Linked DNA regions of Macaca mulatta. The protein of the gene in region 2 binds, or shares a complex with, the protein of the main gene of each other region. Links are inferred from orthologs where the notes say so. Each region holds a gene or a part of one and is shown on either strand. Other genes may lie near its edges. The genes, in order: WAPL and PDS5B.

Region 1 (3,810 bases), on a different chromosome or scaffold from region 2:
CTGTAGTCCCAGCTACTCGGGAGGCTGAGGCAGGAGAATGGTCTAAACCCGGGAGGCGGAGCTTGCAGTGAGCTGAGATCCGGCCACTGCACCCCAGCCTGGGCGACAGAGCAAGACTCTGTCTCAAAAAAAAAAAAAAAAAATATATATATATATATATAAAAATTATCGAGACATGATGGCAGGTGCCTATAATCCCAGTTACTGCGGAGGCTGAGGTGGGAGAATCACTTTAACCCAGGAGGCAGAGGCTACAGTGAGGCAAGATGGCGCCATTGTACTCCAGTCTGGGCAACACAGTGAGACTCTGTGTCAAAGTTTGATGATTTTAACATACATTTATGTATTTTTAGAAGCTGACCTGAAAACAGTTTTCATGCTGTTTATGCTATTTATTTATTTATTTTTTTGAGATGGCATCTTGCTTTGTTGCCCAGGCTGGAGTGCAGGGGCACAATCTTGGCTCACTGCAACCTCTGTCTCCTGGGTTCAAGTGATTCTCCCACCTCAACCTCCCTATTAGGTGGAATTAGAGGCACCCACCACCACGCCCAGCTAATTTTTTGTATTTTTAATATAGATGGGGTTTCACCACGTTGGCCAGGCTGCTCTTGAACTCCTGAGCTCAGGTGATATACCCGCCTTGGCCTCCCAAAGTCCTGGGATTACAGGCATGAGCCACTGCACAGGCCCTTTATGCCGTCTTTTTAATGGAAATTTAACCTAAACTTGCCAACAACGCCTGAGGAGAAATGTGGGCAAAGCAGTAAGGACAGCCAAATTAGAATTAACCCGGAGGATCAAAGGAATGACAGTAACAGCTGGCTCATCGTCTCATCCAAGAGTGAGAGAAAGAGTGAAAAAATGCTCAACATTTTTAGTAAAACTATGCAAAGCCCAGTACATTGTACTGTTTCATGTGCCTTAACCTTCAAAGGACAAATTCCCCTTAAGAATTCAGTACAGGCCGGGCACGGTGGCTCAAGCCTGTAATCCCAGCACTTTGGGAGGCCGAGACGGGTGGATCACGAGGTCAGGAGATCGAGACCATCCTGGCTAACACGGTGAAACCCCGTCTCTACTGAAAAATACAAAAAACTAGCCGGGCGAGGTGGCGGGCGCCTGTAGTCCCAGCTACTCGGGAGGCTGAGGCAGGAGAATGGCGGGAACCCGGGAGGCGGAGCTTGCAGTGAGCCGAGATCTGGTCACTGCGCTCCAGCCTGGGCGACAGAGCAAGACTCCGTCTCAAAAAAAAAAAAAAAAAAAGAATTCAGTACAGCAAAGTTTTGTGTTTGTGTTTACTTCCTTTCAAAGGAAGATTTTTATAACCTTTCATTATTGCTAAACTTTGCCAAGATGTCAAGAACTAAGGTTTCTTTTCAATTACAGTATAGTGCCACCCTTATCCTAATGCTGATAGAGTGCTCCCACTTCTCTACCCCACCTCTTCCCTGCCACCCTCAATATTAGCTCTTCAGTCTTTTAGTTAATTGTACCTTTTTCACTTATTATAAATCTCAAATCCCTTACAGGAGACAGAACAAAATGTATCGTTTTAGGAGAGAGTACTAGATGCTCTATTTACAAATTAACATTTTTAAAATACAACCAGTTTTGTGGTTTAAAATCTATCAATACGGCGGGGCACGGTGGCTCACGCCTGTAATCCCAGCACTTTGGGAGGTCGAGGCAGGCGGATCACAAGGTCAGGAGATCGGGACCAACCTGGCTAACACAGTGAAACTCTGTCTCCACTAAAAATACAAAAATTAGCCGGGCGTGGTGGTGGGCCCCTGTAGTCCCAGCTACCTGGGAGGCTGAGGCAGGAGAAAGGCATGAACCTGGCAGGCAGAGCGCGCAGTGAGCCGAGATGGCACCACCGCTCTCCAGCGTGGGCGACAGAGCAAGACTCCGTCTCAAAATAAATAAATCTATCAATACAAGCTGCTACTGGCCCCAAACTAATCTCAATTTGGAATCAAGTTCAATTCTTTAATGTCTCCACTCAATACCTCCTTAATCTTTCTGAGCTAGTTTTGGCAGAGAGTCTACCATTGTTAACTAATCCTCATTTTAAGTACTCATCTCATTTTCATTAACAATAACCATCCAAATCCTCCACAGTAATAGAAATGAGATACTCCGTGATCCTAACACAACAAAAAGAGATATTTCTTATTGGAATCGGGGTTAGAAACGTATGACTGTTCCCAAAATGTACCCTGAGCAACAGTCTATAAACATTAATATCCAAGTTGTTTTATTATTTCAACCTCCAACTGGTTTCTTTAAAGTTCTTAAATGTCTTTTACAAAACTATCAATAGTCCCCATTTATCCTAAGTGCAGAAAGAAAACACAGTATGTATTTTAGAAGTTAAATCATTTTTAAAAGTTGCTTGCATGAAGCCCTCTTGGCTGAGAATAAAGAAAATCAAAACTTACCTGAAGTTATTAATTTGTTACAGCTACTTATGCTTGCATCATCTTCTACAATTCGGTTTGTGCTCTTTTCTTTCCCAAGCAAAGTGTCCTCCAAAGGGAAGCATTTATCAGATATAACAGTGTCTTCAACCACCACATGACTAATTTTGCTATTAGCTTCAAGTACTGAAGTGACCTCTTCCAGCTGAGCAGCTTCACTAGATTCTGAGTAAGAGGAACCCTTACCCTGGGCTAAATTCTTTGAAGAAACTGGTAGAGACTCATCATCACTATCAAATCCAAAAGGATCTCCAGTACTTTCTTCTTCCACTTTAGGTTTCTTCGGAATTTCTTGGATATCTGGTTTGAAATTGGGCCTCTTCTGCCCTAATTTAGCCATAAATGTAGTCTCTCCCCATTTTGTGCTAAGGGTGGTCCGTTTGTTGGAAAAGACTTCATCAAATTTTGAACTGCCATTTCCACCTTTCCTACTGTATGTTTTCCCAAATCTGGATGTCATTTTGACACCAGTTTCATATTCTGTGAAAAAAAATTTAAGAAAACATATAATCATCAAATACTCAACAAGTGTTAAACAGTGCTATAAAAATAAAAACCTAGGGATTATTCCCTCATGACTTTTGACATCACCACAGACTTTTAAACAAACAAATATGAGGAAGGGGTATAAAGAAAGGCTGATTTATTACTCTACATGCTTCCATGTCAATTTTCCTCTACAATGAGTACATATTCTTATGCTACTTACAAAGTAAAAAAACTTAATGATTAACCAACTTATAATACGATATCCACAAAGCTAACTTGAAACGTATTAAGCTCCAAATGAATCAACTTGCTATTCTTATAAACATCATTTTTACCTTAAAAAATAATCTGTATAGAGGCTGGGAGGTCGAGGCAGGCAAATCACTTGAGGCCAGGAGTTTGAGACCAGCCTGGCCACCATGGTGAAACCCTGTCTCTACTAAAAATAAAAAAATTAGCTGCGAGTGGTGGCACACGCTTGTAATGCCAGCTACTTGAGAGGCTGGGGCAGGAGAACTGCTTGAACTCAGGAGATGGAGGTTGCAGTGATGTTATAATAATCTATATAGGGTAATTACCTATATAAAATCTTAAGCACAGAATGTTAATTTTTTTCAGGGCCTCAGAAATATCCAATACTTGATTAAATTTAGTTCTTTGAAATTTCATGGCACTAATTCATAGGAGAAAAAAGGTCCCCAAAATGGTGCTTTTTCTCATGTTTTACAACCTGCAGCTTTTAACCCAATCCTGAAGATTCTGCTTCTTGGTGTAATGTAATTCGGGCTGTGACTTAAAAAATGTTCCTTAGATGGTCATTTCCCTAAGGGAAAGAAAC
Region 2 (4,494 bases):
TAGAACAAAAAAAAGACAATGGGGAAACTTCTCAGCTTCCAGGATATCTAAGAGCTGCCCCAATTCCACCACATGAATACGACTGTGACCTCAGATAAATCAATGAAATTAAAATCTGAACCGAATTTCTCATGTATAAGCGAGTTGGAGATCATCCTTAAGTTTTCTTGTTGCTCTCTAACACTAACGGAGGAAACATAAATAACTTTTCCAATATAAGTTATATACAGTCCATGTCATTCAAGAGTCCATAAGCCAAATCTTACTGAGCGCACTCCTGTTAGTTCTAAGGCAGTCTCTAAATTTCCCAAGAGGAATAAGCAGAAAGAATACAACTTCCCGAAATATTCCTTTCTCACAAAGTTTTGGGTATTTTCTACCATTGCATTCTTCTCCAGGGCAAGCCCTAACACAAAGTATTACTTTATCTTAGGCCTAACAAATTATTGATAAAGCCTACTCCTCAAAATGTTACTTTGTTAAACAAAGCTGCAGAACAATTTAAACAACTTTCATCAAACAGCCAACTCGGTAGAATCTTACTACAAGTAAGCTTAATACAAACATCTCACGACAAGAATCACTATCATCAGTACATGTGTCTCTAATACGGGGGTAAAAATGAGAGGGGAGAGACATAACACGAGAGAATAAAGGCGACAAGAGTAACAAAAGCTGCTGTAAAAGGTAATATAGGGAAAATCAGCCTTAACCAAAACAAGGAGAAAAGAAAAAAAGAAAAAGGGTGAACACAAACACTACCTTCCCATTTAAAATACACCTTTAAGTAAACGCCAGCTGAGAAGAGGACAATTTTTTAAACCATCAGAAAAAGGAGGAAAAAGTCACTATTTGGATAATTTTTATAAAGTCTAAAGTGCATCTTTTTACATATACTTGTAAACGTATATCAAGCACAAATCTTATTTCTAAGGAATAACGTTCTTAAAATGTTTTTAGTTTCTGACAATCAATCGATCTTAACATAAAAGGTCCCATGTAACTTTCACCTATTCACCACTACAAATTTTAATTCGGTTTTCTGCTATCACCATGAGATACAAGATTAACTGTTCCACGAACTGACCCACATACACCATTGAATACTCATTTCATTGTCCCTAAAGATGGGAACATCTCAGACATGTGTACTGCATAACGAGCTGTCTTTCAAGTCCATATTTGTGGCTTTTAACTAGTTTACCTGACCACTACATGAGTTAATATAAAAAACGTTCTGTCTGGGAACTCTGGATGGGTTAACTGAGAACAACGACTATATTGCCGTTCAAGTATTGGGTAATGACGATTTATTTACAGCTCGCCTCCTGCATGTAAACACAACGTGAGTTTTTGAAGTTTATTAGGAAGATGGTATAGGATTACCCAACTCTCTCCACACCGCAGACCAACCCTCTAAATTAAAGCTATATCCAAAGTTTCCGAAACTATTTCATCGACAGGGTAGGATCAGTCGGGGCACCACTGCCCATCCATCACCTCTTATTAAAAGTACAAGAAGCACTTTCTTCGACATAAAAAAGGGTTAACCCTTGCTGGGGTAGAGAGGCTGTTGAAGACGCGCGCGGAATGGGTGGGTAGCTGCTCTTTCAACCCTTCCCGGAGCTCGCCCCGTCCGCGGCAAGGAACGCAGCAGCCTGCAGTTCCGAAGGCGAGGGGCGGCGTTTCTGGTTTCAGTCATTCCTCCAAAATAACTGTCGAGCTACTTCTGAGTTAGCTTTCACGTCTCTACCAAAAACCAACAGCAGTAGCAGCAACAACAACAAACAAGGTTTTTCTCCGGACCGAAAACTTTTAAAGTAGCATTAAAATAACAGTGCAAAAACATTAACGAGTCACAATTGCACACCATTTTCCCCGCCGTTCCTTCCGAAAGGAAAGCTAGAACCCAGTTGTCGCCTGGGAGGAGTCCCTCCACGCCAGCGCTGGGCTCTTGCTCAACGGGGTCCTCAGGTTCCCCGAGCACCCACTCCGGGCGGCGCGGTGAGCGCGATTTCCCTCGGGCAAGCAGCGAGGAACAGCGCAAAAATGTCATGCTCAGCCCGTCCCCTGGCCCGAAGCGCAGGCCAGGCGGCGCGCGGGGACCCGGCGGCGAGGGCGAGGGCGAGGGCGAGGGCGCCCGCGGCCCCGACCCGCGGTCCCCGCCCGCCCCTCGCCCGGAAGGGGGAGAAGCCCGCCCGCGGGAGGATTCAACAGGAGCACCGCGCCGCCCGCCTGCCGCCCGGGAAACAGCCGCCGGCCGGCCGGGGCGCGGGGGGAGGGGCGCGGCGGCGGCGGTGGCGGCGGGAGGGCGCGGGCGGCCGGGCGGCCCCGGGACCCCAGCCCGCGCGCAAGGTCACCGCCCGCCGCCGCCGCCGCCCGGGCCGGGATCAGAGCGGCAAGTTTAATTTCCAGAGGCTGCGGCAGAGCCCGCGGCGTGGAGGCGCGAGTCGGCCGCGGGGCCCTCCCCACCCCCACCGCGCAGCCGGCCCGCGCCCCGCGACCCCCGCCCCGGGCCGCCGCCAGGCAGCCGCCCGCTGCAGCCCCCGATGCCGGGAGGCGAGTCGCGCCTGGCACCCGGGCGGGCGGCGCTTCAGCCCTGCCACACACACACACACACACACACACACACACACAGCAGCAGTGGCGGCCACCGAAAAATGGAGCGCCGCGGCCAGAGAAGAGAGACATTTTCTTTCCGTTAACTGAATTGTTTCCTACCTCCGGGTTTCCGACTCGCTACTCCTCTCACTCCGCGGCTCTCCGGGATCCGCCGCCGCCGCCGCATCCAATCGCCTTCTCTCCCCCCTCCCCTTCCGCAGCCAGCCCGGCCGTTCCTCCTCCTCTCCGCTTCAAAATGGCGCCAAGCGCTCTTCGGCGGCTGCTCCAATCGAACCGCCGCGGACAGCACCCGGGGGCAGGCAGAGCGCGGCATGGGTGCGCAGCGCCCCCTGCCGACCAGACGGCCCCGCGCGCGCCCGCCCTCCGAGCTCCGCCCCGCCCCGTCCGCGCGCGCGCACTCCCCTCCTCAGCCCCGCCCCGTCCGCGCGCACGCAGCCACACGGGCACGCCGCCGCGGAGGCCGCGAGACTGGCAGCTGTCAAGGCGTCCACTACCCTTGCAGCTTACTAGACCTCCACCGACAAAAATCATTCCGATTGTTACGTAGCCCTATCTTTTTAGATAAAGATTGGGAGATTTTTTTAAACACTGACATTCAGCACAGGTGTTGTGCTAGGTTAACATAATTGGTATTATTAACTACTTTGCTCCTTGTTAATTCTGACCTAGTCGTCTCGGAATGCCATACAAATAGTTTTCCTACACTTTATGTGTTGTGTCTTTATTAAATCTCCCCGCTTTCCTAATTTGATGAATTGTTCATAGGTGGTAAGCTGGCGGAGACACAGAGTAATTGAGCCTGTGACGAAGCATTCTATTCCTTTGGCAGAATTGTCCTTATTAGAGGAAGACATCATCTGGAGACCACAGGGACACATTCCAGGAGGTGGGTCTCCTCCCCTCTTCACCTTTCGGGGATGCCAGTCCCTCAAGTGGGTTTAGCCTGGTCACAACAGATCACCTACCTTTGGGGAAGCTTTTCCTCCCCTGCCAGAACTGAAGAAGGGACTTCCTCCTCTTTTTACTTTAATATCATCCCTCCTGTAAGGAAGTTTCCCCCGATATGATGTATTTGGTTACTAGAATTTTGTTCCAGGGAGAATTTGTTTCAACAATGAACAAGCAAAGGGTGAATGAATGGATTACAATAGGATACTTATCAACTGAAAGAAAAGATAGGTAATGCTGATCTGTAAACTAATGTTACTGTGCACCTAGAGATACTAGGTGCATTTTCCTCTGTCTGTCCTAATGGTAATTGCCTCATTCACCCTTACCATGTAGCTGTTTTGAAGGCTATCTCCTTTCTGCACCTAGAGATACTGAGACCTCTTCATTTCCATTTTTGTGGGATTTCCTGGACAATTCCGCTTCAGTCTCCTACAGTGCTTGCTAGACCAATATGTTGTGTTACTGTATTCCTATGTCCAAGATTTTGCCACTGAATACTCCAGGTTCTACCCATTTTACACATTCCTTGATGAAGTCCACTATGAGTTTTTTCTGCTCTCTTTTTAAAATTATCTCAGGAATTTTCTTATTTTACATTGTTGTTCCATCAGCATAAATCTTGTATGGAAGAAGAGAGTAGGATGTCTAGATCTAGAAAAACCTTTCCTCTTTGGTTGTTTTTATCTTTTTTACTTTATTTTCTTCAATTCCCAAACCTCCAAAGCCAGGAAGCAAGAAAGTTTCAGAAGAACGGCAGGATGAGAGCAAGAATTTTTTTTTTCTTTTTTTTTTCTTTTTTTTTTTTTGAGACGGAGTCTCAATCTGTCGCCAAGCTGGAGTGCAGTGGCGCGATCTCAGCTCACTGCAACTTCCCCCTCCCGGGTTCCAGCGATTCCCCTGCCTCAGCCTCCCAAGTAGCTG

The links.
Region 1: the proteins of PDS5B (region 2) and WAPL are in contact, whole or in part, in a crystal structure (PDB 5HDT), measured with the Homo sapiens proteins. The link is inferred for Macaca mulatta from reciprocal best matches to the Homo sapiens genes PDS5B and WAPL. Residues at the interface, in NP_055847.1 of Homo sapiens: Gln47, Phe88, Ala92, Pro93, Ala95, Trp137, Val138, Lys139, Ser140, Asn142, Ile143, Phe145, Glu146, Glu187, Gly188, Asp189; in NP_055860.1 of Homo sapiens: Lys7, Thr8, Tyr9, Ser10, Arg11.

What each region holds. Positions count from the first base shown.
Region 1 is NC_133414.1:63,337,016-63,340,825, reverse strand, and holds part of WAPL (wings apart-like protein homolog), read right to left. Parts: intron 2,964-3,810; coding exon 2,445-2,963; intron 1-2,444. UniProt on the Homo sapiens protein: Regulator of sister chromatid cohesion in mitosis which negatively regulates cohesin association with chromatin. Involved in both sister chromatid cohesion during interphase and sister-chromatid resolution during early stages of mitosis.
Region 2 is NC_133422.1:12,351,980-12,356,473, reverse strand, and holds the start of PDS5B (sister chromatid cohesion protein PDS5 homolog B), read right to left. Parts: upstream 2,866-4,494; 5' UTR 2,722-2,865; intron 2,245-2,721; exon of another isoform or gene 1,871-2,244; intron 1-1,870. UniProt on the Homo sapiens protein: Regulator of sister chromatid cohesion in mitosis which may stabilize cohesin complex association with chromatin. May couple sister chromatid cohesion during mitosis to DNA replication.